2 linked regions of the Xenopus tropicalis genome follow. The protein of the gene in region 1 purifies or fractionates together with the protein of each later gene. This does not show direct contact. Links are inferred from orthologs where the notes say so. Each region holds a gene or a part of one and is shown on either strand. Other genes may lie near its edges.

Evidence for each region. Proteins that work in one complex are often made in the same cells at the same time.
Region 2: the proteins of mms19 (region 1) and dna2 purify together in Homo sapiens (affinity purification with mass spectrometry; 3 studies listed by BioGRID and IntAct, counting the BioPlex papers as one, with this or other methods). This does not show direct contact. The link is inferred for Xenopus tropicalis from reciprocal best matches to the Homo sapiens genes MMS19 and DNA2.

Annotation. Positions count from the first base shown.
Region 1 is NC_030683.2:33,013,510-33,017,164, forward strand, and holds part of mms19 (MMS19 nucleotide excision repair protein homolog), read right to left. Parts: intron 3,299-3,655; coding exon 3,224-3,298; intron 1,901-3,223; coding exon 1,774-1,900; intron 1,684-1,773; coding exon 1,583-1,683; intron 1,094-1,582; coding exon 1,037-1,093; intron 809-1,036; coding exon 622-808; intron 1-621. UniProt on the Homo sapiens protein: Key component of the cytosolic iron-sulfur protein assembly (CIA) complex, a multiprotein complex that mediates the incorporation of iron-sulfur cluster into apoproteins specifically involved in DNA metabolism and genomic integrity.
Region 2 is NC_030683.2:40,338,166-40,341,820, forward strand, and holds part of dna2 (DNA replication ATP-dependent helicase/nuclease DNA2), read left to right. Parts: intron 1-1,259; coding exon 1,260-1,461; intron 1,462-1,575; coding exon 1,576-1,665; intron 1,666-2,318; coding exon 2,319-2,501; intron 2,502-3,655. UniProt on the Homo sapiens protein: Key enzyme involved in DNA replication and DNA repair in nucleus and mitochondrion.

The sequences.
Region 1 (3,655 bases):
TCTTTTGATAAGTTCCTTGACTGGATCATGATAGGAAACTGACCAGCAGTACATATTTCCTATTTAAGGTGGCCATACATGGGCAGATTTAAAGAAGAATGAAAGTTTAAATCACTGGCGGGGGGGGGGGGGGGGGGGGGGGCAAAAGTTATGCACCTTAGGTGGGCATATCAGGAGGGAGATCCGCTCATTCTGCGACCTCACCAAACATGCGGATCTTAACGTGTATGGCCAGCTATACAGAGCATAGTGGCAACTGCGTGTTCTCTACTTAATACACATTTTTTACTCACCTACAAATCAGTTACAGGTAATGAAATTCAATTCATATGTAACATAAGAGCTTGCACATGGAGCATGAGCACTAACACCCTGTGCCAGAGAGAGGCATGAGAAGGAGAGGGTGATTATTCAAGTAGCCTTCCCTTTCACTCCCACTTAGCTCTCTGGAGGAAATGAGTACATTCTATAAGTAATGAGTAAGTTCTATTTGTTGGATCTGCATGGAGCACAGTTATATACTGCATGCGTAATAATGATAAATGGATAAATAATATGAAAGTCACTGCTTATTGCTGATGTTAATACAAAAAAGTAAAAAAAAAAAAAAAATCATGTCACCTCTGTTGGCAGAGTTGAAACCTTGCACCAGCTTTGGGACATTCTCTGTGAAGAACCTTTGCCGGAACATGATGCGGATGTCTGCATGGCAGGCTTTATTAATGATATCCGGCGAGTCTGATACTAACAGGGAGAACATATTTGCCACTGAAGGACCCAGCTGCTTATCAGACAGTAAACCAATCATCTGTGGAATAGCAAATGGGGAAAAGTAGAAAGTGAAGGCCAAGGTCAACTGATTTTTTTGCAACTGTTCGTGTAAAGGGCAGACAGGCAGAATGAAATGAGTGGCTATGAGTTTTAGAATTAAAGAAAAGCAGATTTTCCAGCACTGCTCTTTTTTCATTAAAATATGTAAAATATCACTTGCTGCCTTTATGATAGGAGATTTACTCATCTGCTTCCAAGTTCTTACCTTATTGGTTAGCTGCCCACTCAAAGGGTGGTATCTCAGTACCAAGGCTTTGGTTACCTACACGAGAAAGAAAGGTCAATGCTATTTCCTCCAGTGACATGTTCATGACTATTCACAGTTCATATACCAAAACATCACTGTTTAATTTAGCCTTACAAGGGTACAAAACCTTTGGCTATCAATAGTTCTGAACATCTAAAAGCCAAAGAGTTATATGTGTATAGCCAAGTGTTATATATTTCTGGGGCAAAACTAAAATAATAAAAAGAACATTGCTATTTTCCCTGTGTATTTGTAGTAAAGGTGCTAAGGAACAGAAATTAGCGACTGATTTAGCCCGTTTGGCCAAAGTAGCAGCCAAAGGTCCTCTGCATGGAGGGTACATTATAAATCAGTTTGAAAAATATCATTGCTCTGTTGATGGAGTATGCATTAGAATTCACTGTACAGCCCCCTGCTTGATGCCCAAATTAAGCATCTGCTCATTTTTTTTTTTACCGGGCTAAATGACAGATGAGTGTCCAGCCAATTAAGTGTTGTTCTTACCCAGACTAGGAGAGTAATGGCCCGAGTCCTGCTGGGTTCATCCACCAGCCCCACATCTATCCGTTGAGCTGTTACTAGAAGTATATCATCCAGCAGGTCCCCTAGTGGGAAAGGCACAAATGCACAGCTCAGTACAGAACTCATGCAGGTATATTCCGTGACACAATGACACAAGGGAAAGCAGGACTCACCTTGGGGACATTTATTGATTAGCCCAGCAAAGCATTTTGAGGCAGAGGAATATGCAAATGGTGAGCACCCTGAGAGACTCAATGATAACAAATGCTGCAGCAATCGTCTCAGATGTGGAATTTCCACCTGCCATTAAAATCAGGTATAATAATGTAAGAAGGTTGTACACCAAATTATTTCAGGCTGGAAAGAATTAAAATTAAGAATGGCTTCATCAATTCATAATATATCTACAAAAGATGACAATGGGGCACTTGGGAATGCAAAAAAATAATACTTTTTTTACGGGTGTGTTATAAGCCACTGTATTTTTGATATAAAGACTTATTTGATATAAAGTGGTATATCTTCTCATGAGCTTGAAAGGAACCACAGCACTAAACTGCATTATTAGGTGATGAAACATTCACCATCTTAAGCAAAAGGTGCATGTGAAGTTTTCTTGCGTTTTTTTCCCCTCAGGAAAAAAAGGTGAGAATATGGTTTTTAGTCATAAATGGCTTCATATTACAGCATGAAGTATGGCAAACTGCCTCACACAAAGCAACCAATCAGATTCCAACTTTGTATGTTCTACAAGTATTAGATTGATTAAAAGCTAATTGCTGATTGGAGGCTGTGGTTTACTACACTGAGGAAGTCCGACTGTGTCATTATCACATTGATTCCCATCACCATCAGGCTTAAAAAAACTAAGCGTAAACAACAACAAGGCTTATTTACCAGTGCATGAAGTGGCGCACTGAAAAACATCCACTTGCTTGATTTTTGAAAGACTGGTCTGTTTACACATAGCCACTAAACAGGTAACACACATCTGATTGGTTGCTATAGGTTACTAGACCAGCAATCAGCCAGCAGTTAGCATGTACTAGTGAGCTGCTTGAAAACACATATCCAAATATCTTTTATGAGTTACAGACCTTTCATTATATTACCCCGTTTGTTCCTTTAATTGCATTATCCCCTCTGTATCACAAGACACCAGTTATTAAACAGCTATGTCTTAAATCCATACCTGCAGGTCTAATGACAATAGCCTAGGTATAACTGCTGACTACCATCATTACCTGAATGGCTGTAATATTTCTCATCTATAACTCCCAGTTTCCTCAGGCAACAGACTGAGGCAGAGTATTCAGGGAATTTAATCTGTCAACTGCAATGAGCCTTGCAGGTCTGATATAATGTAAATATATGAATCTAAAGGAAAATATAATGTCTTAATAAGAAACACCATTATAAAGCTATAAACCTTACTAAGTGGCATTGCTAAACTGAGCAGAAGGATGGAGAACTCGCTGTTTAAAAAGTTTATTTCCCCGAAATGGGCCTGTTGGAAGCATTTTCCATACATAAAGTGAGTAAATCCCATATTCTGCAAATTAGCCTGCAAGGTATGCCCAGAATCCGGCAAAATGTAATTAAGGCTTTTTGTTTCATACTCACATTTCTTGGCAAGGAGCAAACAAATGCCATTAACAATGATACTAAGTGGTTCTGGAGCTCCGTGGGACCATTTACCTGCAAATAAGCACATGCTTAATTATATGATTATTGCTTATGGGCTCAGACAATGTTCTGTTCCTGCATTTTGTGTACTACAGATACAGCATTGTTGCTTATTGCGGACTATGACAAACATACAGAAACACAGATTCACAAGCCATATATAGAATAATGTCAGTCAAAAGGGGTGGTTACTAGTCCTTTCAGAATTCAGGGCACACATTTGTTTCTGCTCAACTCTCCATCACTGTCTCTGTCACTACTCAAATGGATCACTGTATTACAGACACTATATACTGCCCACTTTTATATCAGAGACTGCGGCACTGCAGCTAGCAACAACCATATCTTTACATTAAGAACAGTGGAAAA
Region 2 (3,655 bases), about 7.3 Mb from region 1:
CAATGAAATTCTGGGAGAGTATAGTCTGGAGACCAAAATTCAACTCTTTGGATATCATTGCGCACACCATGTTTGGAGGAGAAATGGTGCTGCATATCACCACAAAAACACCATATCAACAGTGAAATTAGGAGGTGGGAACATCATGGTGTGGGGCTGTTTTTCAGTATATGGCACTGGCACACTTCATATAATTGAAGGAAGGATGAATGGAGAAATGCACTGGGACATTCTTGATAAGAATCTTCTGGCAACTACCAGCTGAAGATAAAACGAGGGTGGACATTTCAGCACGACATTGATCCCAAACACATAGTCAAGGAAACTCTCTATTGGTTTCAGAGAAAGAAAATAAAACAATTGCCCAGTCAATCTCTCGACTTGAATCCAATTGAAAATTTATGGAAAGAACTGAAGATCAGAGTTCATAGAAGAGGCCCTTGGAACATTCAGTATTTGAAGACAGTTGGGCAATGGCAATGGACAATGGGCAATAATCACACCTGAGCAATGCATGCGACTAGTTTTTCCAAACAGGAGGCGCCTTGAAGCTGACATTACTAACAAAGGCTTTTCTGCTACTTATTAAATACATTTCAGTAAGCATGTTCAATATTTATTCCCTGTGTCATTCCACTTTACTACACATAACTTAACTTATGGACTTATTTGTTTTGATTTCTCTGTATGTGTTGATTACTTTGGTTGTTACCTACATCTGGTGTAAAGTTTATGTCAATAGCCCTTTAGAAATATATTTACTGAGAAAATCGTGACATGTTCAATACTTATTTTCCCCGCTTGTATAGTTAATGTTCTCTGACACTGCATTTCTAGCCAAAGACTTCTTACAACCCACTCGTCAACTTGTCATTGTCATAATGTAAACAGTCAAGGCTTATTAAAGGCAGCAAAACTAACAATATTTTTAAACATCAATCATTGTTCCAGTGTTTGGAACAATTGACATTGTCCTAACCTAGTGAGATGAATGATTTGCTGAATAGCTATTAGATTACCTCAGTGCCCACAGGGGGAGAAAGAGTAATATAAATATATCCTCCCTATTCTTATTCTGCTAAATACAATGCTGAACCGGTATTTTTTTTTAACAGGGACTACATAGAAACCTTCTTCTCTCTTTTTTGTTTTTACCTCTGAAAAACAATCTACTTCCCAAGTCTACTTAAAACAAGTGGTTTTATTTTATGGATAATATATCATTGAATTGTCGCTGACCATGTTGATCTGCTGTTTAGTCAGATTATGGCACTAAGCAACAAGCTGGTGTATGAAGGCAGGCTGGAGTGTGCCTCTGATCGTGTATCTAACGCTGTGGTTAAGCTACCTCATATTAAGACGTTACTTCTGGAGCTGGAGTTCAGAGAGAGCCAGGAATCAATGTGGATTAAAGATGTATTGGAGCCAAGTAACCCTGTGTGCTTTCTGAATACAGAAAAAGTATGTATTCTCCCCCCTCTGGTGATTTAACATACACTTGTGTTATATCTGCAGACATGAGCCAAAGACATATGTAAGGGCCATTTGCACCAATGCTTTTTTTCCCACTTCTAGATTCCAGCCCTGGAAACTGAAGAGAAGGGTGGAATAAGCAACTGGATAGAAGCTAAATTGGTGTTCTGTTTGACAAAGCTGTTTCTAAAGGTCTGTTTTCTAGCTGCATTTTATATCACTGTTTATCACTGTGAAAATTACTTTGTGAGGGATGCCTAATTGCCTGGCATCCCCCAGTGATTACATTCATTGAGCTTGTTCCCCAGACAGTGCTTCTTTTCACATGTTTATACTCTTTGACAGTATTGCGTAAGCGTATGGTCCTGTACAGCTGAAGCCATTGGAAAGTGACCAAAGATGGTGTTGTGGCACTGCATAAAAGTAGGCCTGAGAAGGTTGAACCTGCTGCTCAGCCCTTATGGGCTACTGCTTGGGTAGTGCTTTGCAGTTATTGTTCAGTGTGGTGAAATCTGGTAGGGGTAAAAGCAGTGGAATAACTAGAAGTTACTGGTCCCCACAGCAAGCTTTTTTAGAGCCCCCCCCCCCCCCCCAATATCTGGGAATATAATTATGCTCCTAGCTGCTCCTGTCAATCACACACTTTGTAATTTTGTCATCTTTGTTATACAGTAGCTTCTCAATGTTTGTGACTGTGCTATACATATATTTTTAATTATTTGTTATCCTTCATATAGTGCTGGCTAGTTTGTGTGTCACTTTACAAAAAGGTTGTTCATTGGCATGTTATACATACTACATCGATTTGTGTGTCATCCTAATATCTGTTGTTTGTTTCTACAAAGGCTGGCTGCAGACCCTCAGACATTGGGATCATAGCACCATATCGTCAGCAACTTAAAGTTATCTCTAATTATTTCAACTCCTTGTCAGCGAGTGCCGTGGAAGTGAATACAGTAGATAAATATCAAGGGAGAGACAAAAGTGTCATCATTGTGTCTTTCGTTAGAAGCAATATTGATGGAAAAGTAAGCCTACATTTACATCTTAGAATATTTTAACCTTCTTTTTTATACCAGTTCAAGCAAGCTTGATAAGGAGATTTATTTCACTTACCGTTAAATCCATTTCTCTTTAGTCCTATGGGGGACACAGGGACCATGGGGTTAAGTCCCCTCCATCAGGAGCAAGACACTTAAAGGTGTGCTTTACCTTTAATTTAACTTTTAGTATGTTATAGAAGGACCAATTCTAAGCAACTTTTCAGTTGGTCTTCATTATTTATTTCTTACAGTTTTTTGATTATTTGTCTTTCCAGCTTTCAAATGGGGATCACTGACCTCAGCAGCCAAAAAACTATTGCTCTGTGAGGCTACAGTTGTATTGTTATTACTACTTTGTATAACTTTTTTTCTATTCAGTCCCTCCCCTGTTCATATATCAGTCTCTCATTCAAACCACTACCTGCTAAGGTAATTTGGACCCTAGCAACCAGATAAGTGTTATAAGTACAAACTGGAGAGTTGCTGAACAATTATTGAAAATAATTAAACTACAAATAATAAAAAATGAAGACCAATTGCAAATTGTCCCAGAATATTATATATAATATATATATCTACTTCATACTAAAAGTTAACTGAAAAGTGAATGACCCCTTAAAGGAATGTAACCCCTATAACCCTCTTCCCATTCCCAGGCACCTCAATTATCATGGAAAAGACAGAGCAAACACTGCTTCTAACAATCTTTTTTTTTTTTTAATTTCATTTTAAAACAAGAAGGAGGGGTAGCTTGAAGACCTGCACTAAGGTCTCAAGGGGTATCCATCACACTGTACCTTAATGACCTTCTGCTCAAGGCACCTTCTCTTCTAGCAGCTAAATTCCAGCCCTCCGTGTTCATGGACACTCTGTACACTCTGGTATGAACGTTCAATATGGCCAAATCTCGTCTAGTGCCTGCTTGGCGCATGATCTTCGATATGGAGCAGCAAAAGGTCCTTCCTTCCTTCAGAGAAGATCACCCGGATCCAACTTCATTACAATCAGGTCCTGGGGTCAATGGTGTCCTCCATCGAAGCAGTTCCCCAGGACTGGGGTACTGCAAGTGAGCAATCCAGCGTAGGGGGCTGACGCAAAAAGTCCAGCACAGGCTCCCTCAGGTACCACCCCGGATGTTC